Linked DNA regions of Astyanax mexicanus. The protein of the gene in region 2 interacts with the protein of the main gene of each other region in a pairwise test. Links are inferred from orthologs where the notes say so. Each region holds a gene or a part of one and is shown on either strand. Other genes may lie near its edges. The genes, in order: shfl and tns2a.

Region 1 (3,930 bases), on a different chromosome or scaffold from region 2:
CATGGTGGTGGTGTATGAGGTGTTGGTGTGTGTTGTGCTGATAGTACAGTGAGTGGATCAGATACAGCAGTGCTGCTGGAGTTTTTAAACACTGTGTTTAATCACTCACCACTATCCTCCACTCTATTACACACTCCTACCTATAGTATCTGCTCCACCTTGTAGATAAAGTAAAGTCAGAGACAGAAGCTCTGAATCTCCTTCTATAGTCTTTTCTCAGTGCCCGCTGGATGCTGCCCACAGGATGCTGCCCGCAGGATGCTGCCCACAGGGCGCTGCCTACAGAATGTTGATGGCTGGACACCCCCTTCCCCTCCCTTTACCTCTGTCTTTCATAAGGATGATCTCCATTGCAACCATCCGGTGGTTGTTCCTGTAGCGCCGCATGAGTACAGTCGCCTTGTCCACTGGAATCTTCCCGTGGAAATTCTCCCTCAGCCGACGGACGCTCATTTCCAGCTGTAGTCAGCAGAACAGAGCAAAGCACTTTTTCACATGGCCGTGCAGAACAACAAACACTTAACAGTACACACATGCAATAGACCTAATAAACAACGTTTAGGAGCAAAGGTAACAAACTATTACGAATCTGTCATCCAATAATCAGCAGTTCGCCCTAGGGTTGCAGCGGTAACCGGTTTCACGGTATACCATGGTATTAAAATGCGCGGTTATCAAACCGTGTGAGTTTGCTTATTACCGGTAAAACGCAAGCCAGCGGAGAAACTCACCCGCGCATGCGCAACTCTGCTCCGCTTCAGCTGCTCAGCACACAGCGGTGAGAACAGCAGAAAGTGCATCAGACTAAACAAATCTCTGTCCGCCTAAAAAAAGGCTAAACTAAAATCAGCAGTGTGGGACTATTTCAGAGACCCGCCGAACACACCCGAGGATGGTTATCTGATTTGTAATCAATGTGGCCGTAAAGTCACAGCTAAAGGTGGACATACGTCAAACCTGTTCTCCCATCTCCAAGAACACCACCCCGCCGTGCAGCGCAAAGTATGTGTTTAGTTTATAATTTTAATCTGAACATAAATAAAACCTCTTTGTAGTCGTGCACAACCCATGCGGTAAGCGCCCGCAAAAGCGCTGAGTTATCCGAAATTTGGGTACGCAGGTACAGGTGTGGAGTGCGTGCTACGGTGGATTCACGTGTCCGTGTAAAGGTCCTGGCCGGACTGGATGTGAAAGACGCCATTCATTTACATGCGTTCATTTTCAAATTCTGACGTGCCTGTTTTTCATATGTTAAAACCAGACTCTGTGTGAAAGCCTTGAAATAGAAATCTCTATTGTGAGGATCATGTCAGAAATAAATCCCCTCTTTCTGCAGTATGTGGTTATATACCAACTTGGCATTAAAACGGATGTTTACAACAGTTGTTGATCAGACACTGACCCAGGCTCAGTTTATCAGATATTAAATAATTTAAACTTAAATAATTGTACTGAATAGTGTAAACACAGGATCTTTACTTCTTAGAGGACATGTAATGTGTGACATATGTGTGTGTGTGTGTGTGTGTGTGTGTATATATATATATATATATATATATATATATATATATATATATATATATATATATATATATATATTTTATTATTATTATTATTTTTTTTTTTTATACACCCTTAATGCCCTTAAGAGTAGTGGAAAAACCTGGTTTCCTTCACCTAATGGTGTACAGCTTATTTTTTTTAAGGAGACATTATCTAAATAGTTGTTCCAGGTTTCTACAATAAATAGTTAATTGAACAAAAAACCTTTGTTGTAATTTCTTTAAGGGTCAGTTTAATAATATATGTAAGAAACTGTGATACCGTGATAACCGTGATACCGCGGTATTTTCTGAGACGGTTATCATACCGTGAAAATCTCATACCGTTGCAACCCTAGTTCGCCCACTGAACTCTTTTCTTATCAGCTCTGATTAGTTTAAACAAATTATGATTGGCATAATGAAAAATATGTCTTAATGGGTTGACAAGATTATAAGTTAAACAAAAATATTATATATGGCCACATCTTGCTCTCAAAACAATTCAAATTCTTGATGGAGTGGATTCCACAAGATGTGTGAAACTTTTGATGATACTTTTGAACATTCTGGTCAGGGGTGTGGCATATCGCTTCATTCACAATAATAATATCACCAACATTTTTGAATAGGGTGAACAATATTATACCCTGAAATATCGTTCCATATCACCCACTTCTAATTATCACATCATGGTACTACTTTTTCTGTTTTTAGCAAAAGAAAAATTCACACTGTTCTCATTTCCCATTATATATATACTAGAGACAGATTATATCTGTGCAAATAAATGCTCTAAATGACAATATTTTATTTGGAATTTGGGAGAAATGTTGTCTGTAGTTTATAGAATAAAACAACAAAGTTCATTTTAATCAAACATAAACCTATAGATAGCAAAAACAGAAAATCTGATTCAGAAACAGATGTGATTTTTTTTTCTAGAGCTGTAGATGCTTTAAAACTAACCTAGCTGTAAGTAAACAGAAGGAGTAACAGGAACTAACAGGCCCACACATTACTATAACATATGTTTAGAGAAGGAAATGAACTATTAAACCTCTAACACACACAGTCACACACACTGCAGCTGTGCAGACATTTCTAATAAAGAGAAATGATGTATAAAGTGTTCACACTCTTCACAGTTAACGTTACCTAAACCTGTACCTGTAAAACCCCGCTAAACCCCCGCAGATAAACCCTGTATTTACTTCAGTTTCCCAGCAGGTAGTTTAGTTTAGTTAGCTGTGCGTTACAGCGCGGCCTGCGGGTCCTGCAGCGATTAAATCAGCCTACCTCCACCTCCTCGCTGAAGCGGCTCATTTCCCCAGCGCGTTAAAGTCCCTCCACACCAGCAACTCGCCCACGAACGCGCCCAGACGCCGAAACACTGCGGTGAGGATTTGTTTGTACTCAGACTCCGCTCTACTTTCAGTTTCATATCGGGAGCGCTTTCCGGAAACCGCCGCTAGGTGGAGCCAGAGACTGAGCGACACAACGCAACTCTCATTTTTTCGCTTTAAATCGTGTAAAAAGCGCTTAATTTTCAGTTTAATTGAATAATTTAATTTAATAATTTGTGAAATTAAGCTGTGTTTCCTGTGTAATTTAGTGTGTTTTCGAGCTCCTTCTCTCACGAAATCCCCTCCAAACCTCTTAAGGAAGCGCACGATTTCTAAAAAAAAAAAAGAGAAAAAATATATATAATAAATAAAAAACTACATTTCCCATGGTGCTGTGCACACATCAGATTTGCAACAGAAGTCAATAATCCAGAATGTCATGATACTAATTAATTCGTTAATTCCCACTAAATATCTCCATATATCCAGGATTAAAAATAAAATAAATAAATGATACCAAGTGATCTCTAGTAGATATAAAATGGGAAATAATAAGACCAGTGTATTTTTTTCTTTTGCTAAAAAATAGCAAAAAAACAAAACTATATTTTCACGATATTCCAAACATGTTGGCGATATTATCGCGTACGATACAGTTGTCATCATTTTTAGCATTTGTTTAGACCTTATTGTGGTGCGTCATTGTCAGTGTAATTAAAAAATTAATAATAATAATAAAACAATATATATTTAAAAATTAGTCAAATATCTAAGCTTTTTTAGTTTTTATTTTATTTTTTCCATTAACATCCAGTTCTTGAGAAATTCGTATGTTTTAAATCGTTATAAAATCGCTTGATTTTCAGTTTAATTTATTCATTTATGGAATTATGTTTTTGAGCTCCTGCCTTCGGAATCATAAAGAACATAAGGAAACGCACGATAAAAAAAATTCTAATAATAAAAAAAACTACATTTCCCATAGTGCTGTGCGCCACTGCGCGATCTGCCCCAACGCTCAGGTTTCTGACCAGCGTCCTGCT
Region 2 (3,930 bases):
AAAAGAAAATATACCTAAAAAAAAACTGTCTGTGGGGCGTGGCTATGTTAATTAGATGTTCAGTTTAGAGGGCTCACCATGATGTAGTTTCATAGCAGTTTTATCCACCTGGCTGGGTTTTAGACTGTGCTAATATAAGTGGTTTTACTCTCTGAGCACTTTTTATTGCTTTAAATGAGCAGAGAGCCTGTTAATAAAGAAATTCTGAAAAGATCATACAGTTTGTCACTGAATGTCACTGAATGAGTCAAATACACATTAATTTGTGAATCATAAAGCTCACAACCTGAAAGACAATAAAGTTAGTTAAAAAAAAGGTAAAATAACATTTTTTCCCTGCAGAACATTGATTGAAATCGCTTTATTGAAGAAATTTAATTGTAAATATGCTCTGAAAAACTGTAAAATACTGGTGTATGTATGTGAAACCTTTAATGAAAATGCATGTGAATCTACTGGTTTTGCACTGCATATGAATGAAAGTATTTTACTTTAATTTTAGGGTTTTTGTTTGGCAGCCGCTGCTGCCAGTAATTTGACCGTTTTTTTTTACGGTTTTATTTTTTACAGTGTACAGTGATGTAAGTTTATTGTTAACACTGTTAACCATAGGATTTTCTAGTTATAGCTACTTTGTTAAATGTTAGTTGAGCATCTGCGAGGCAGCTATAAAGGACCATCCAAATAAATTGTTACCAAAATTTCTGACTTAAAACATAGAAATTCTAACATCTGAGTTTAATTGAAATGTATCATCAGTGAATTCAACCATAGATGAAACTCCTTTTCTTTGGAGGGCAGGGGATATAAATTATATGGAGCTTCACAACATCCAAACTTTTAACTTTTATCTTTATCTAAACATATTATACTACTCATTTTTGTATGTTTATTATCACTGTGGTTGTAATATAGTACTGTCAACAGACCTTCTGTACTATATATAAGTTCTAATGCAAAGTAACCAAAGATGTTGTCATAAAAAATATGTTGAATACTGCAGCTGCATGATAAATTGTAAAAAAAAAAAAAAAAGAAAGAAAAAAAGAAACTTCTGGAATGTGCAACCAAGCCAAGTGCCGATTTTTTTTGAGAAGCTTAAACTGTAACTGCTTTATAACACATCAATAAAATAAAATAGTTGTGACACATTTCATCACAATAATGTTAACATACAGTATCATCATATCTCCCACCTGTGATCCACATTATTCCAAATTACTTTGGAGTGGGCATTGAAAACAGATCGCAACAGTGCATTACATCATGACCCAATCAGTTTCAGTGTTTAGACGTTTTGGGTTCACACACACACACACACACACGAATTTAAGTCCAATTCCCAGGCCTGCATCAAAAGTTAACAACAATTTTGTGACATCATCCAGAGGCCCCAACATTCCCACACTCTGCACCATGTGAGCATCCTCTGGGGACTGAACCATCAAACATGAATATATACTCTCTCCCTCTCTCTCTCTCTCTCTCACACACACACACACACACACTCTGCTTCCATTATTCCCACTCCATAACAACATCATTCCTTACTACATCAACATCCTAACAGAACCACGTCCACAAACTGTACACATTGTAGACATATGGGGAATAATTCAAAAGCTATTTCTGCAGGGCTTAAAAGTTCACAAATACCAGAAAACACTGGAACAATGCATCGGTAATGAAAACGAATGCTCCACTAAAGATGGAGAACATCTAAAACTCTGCTCTGGACTTATGAAATGTAATCTGTATGAGGACATCTCTGTGAATTGACTCATGCCTCAACCGAACCCAAAAACCCCAAAATAGAACAATACTCAACTGTTGCAACTATTGCGACTGAGACATTTAGAACAGGCCTCGGACAACTTTCTTTAAAGGAACAGTCAGTATAAATGCTAGTGATATATGTGAAACAGATACAGGAGTCAGGTTGCCAGATTGACACAAAGTAATCAGTAAATATATACATTTCAGTGTCCAAAATGCCCAGCTATGGTTAGCGAACCTTAATGAAGCTCAGTGATAACCTGTTTAGCAGAAAAATAGCCAGAACCACTGTTTGCTTGCTGCTGTTGTTCTATACATGGCAAACCTGTGTGTGGAACTGGGAATGGGGGAATGTTGGTGGTCAGATTAATAGGCTACATCCCACATAGATTTCTGTGATGTATCATCCAGAGGACTCAACATTCCCAAACTCTTCACCATGTGTGAGCATCCTCTGGACTGAGGGAGGGACTGGACCATCACACATACATACATATACTCTCTCTCTCTCACACACACACACATGCACAGGCTGTGTTCCATACCTGCCAACACTGTGTGTGTAAATGACAGTGGGCCGAATTGGAGGCTGGAAACTTTTCCACAGAGATTTCTGTTATGTTCCACACAGTTCTAATAAGAAAATACTGGCTGAAGCTCTGCTGACTTGAGCTGTAGGTGCTTTAACTCTACAGTTAAACTCATGTATCCTTAATATCTGATGGCACATCCTGAAATACAATCCTAAATGGTCCTTTAAAAAGTTGAGTAGTGTTTTAATAAAATTAAAAACTTTAAATTGCCAACCAACACACACTACATCCATACATCCATACATCAGTACACTGCAGCTGCTGCAGAAACTCACCTTGGTGAGCCTCATGTTGCTCCTGCTGTCTGTCCTCTCCCTCCTCAGAGTGCCTCTGATCGGTTCTGGTTCTGGCTCGGGCTCGTCCCCGAAACAGTCCGTACCCAGAGCGCAACCCATATAGAACCGTGGACCCTGCAGGTCCCCCCCTTCCCTTTCCCGTTTCCCCTCTCGTCCTCTCGCGCTCTGCCCGTGTTTTCCCGAGCACACTAGAGCAGCTGTTTTTGTCGGCTGACTTGAGGCCCTTCCCCTTCTCCTGGCTCTCATTCAGACAAGTACACACACACACACACCACCACACTCACTCTCAGCTCTCACTGCCCTGTTGACAGTGTTGGGCACGTTACTTTGAAAAAGTAATTAGTTATAGTTACTCGTTACTTCTCCAAAAAAGTAACTGAGTTACTAACGGAGTTACTCCACTATAAAAGTAATTAGTTACCAGTAAAAGTAACTATCGCATTACTTTTTATTATTCGCCCGTCAAAAAAAGGAAATCAATTATGCATTTACTATTATTATTAGAAAAATAACAAAAAATAACAAACGAAAATAAACCCAAAATGTTGACAAAAATATAATCTAACGAATTTCAAAAAAATAAAACGAAATTCTCCACACAACCAAAGAAAATTACTAAAACTTGTAATACTGAAAAAAGCGGAAAAACGCGCCTGGGGATGAAATTTAACAAACCAAGCCACACTCAAAAGAAATATGTATATATAAAACAAAATAATGGACAAAAACAACAATTTAATGCCCGTTAAAATGGTATTAATATAACAGCTTCACCAAAAGAGAATAGAGCTTAGATCATGCCCAAAGACCCAGCCGGAGCCCGTGCACATTCTGCCCAAGCCCGAACCATAAACTGCCATTATGAGCCTGACCCGATCCGCCCCATAAACTGTCTGTTTTCGGGCTGATTGAATGAGCGAAATATAATCAGAATTATGTTAATTAACACTGTAACATAGAAGCATAGAACTATTATTTAATTTAAATGATTTTTAAGAACAGCTACACACAATGCTGCAAGTCAAACGCGGAGGCGTTCACGTGCCCCCAGAGCTACGTGATTACAGTTTTCATTTTTATTATAGTTTAATTTTATTTTGTTTTTATTTTTTCTGTTCATTTTAGGGTGGGCTTGCTAGCGCGAGCGCTTTACACAAGAACTAACGGACCATGCGTGCCGCGCGCTCGGCACAACAACTCCCGCTGTACAACTCGGCTGTACAACAGCGCTTATAAATAAATTAAACACAAAAATGAGGGTATTC

The links.
Region 1: the proteins of tns2a (region 2) and shfl interact in binary tests that used the Homo sapiens proteins (3 or more experiments, as listed by UniProt). The link is inferred for Astyanax mexicanus from reciprocal best matches to the Homo sapiens genes TNS2 and SHFL.

What each region holds. Positions count from the first base shown.
Region 1 is NC_064410.1:4,704,537-4,708,466, reverse strand, and holds the start of shfl (shiftless antiviral inhibitor of ribosomal frameshifting protein homolog), read right to left. Parts: upstream 3,027-3,930; 5' UTR 2,868-3,026; coding exon 2,841-2,867; intron 460-2,840; coding exon 324-459; intron 1-323.
Region 2 is NC_064420.1:27,588,119-27,592,048, reverse strand, and holds the start of tns2a (tensin-2), read right to left. Parts: upstream 2,847-3,930; 5' UTR 2,765-2,846; coding exon 2,645-2,764; intron 1-2,644. UniProt on the Homo sapiens protein: Tyrosine-protein phosphatase which regulates cell motility, proliferation and muscle-response to insulin. Phosphatase activity is mediated by binding to phosphatidylinositol-3,4,5-triphosphate (PtdIns(3,4,5)P3) via the SH2 domain.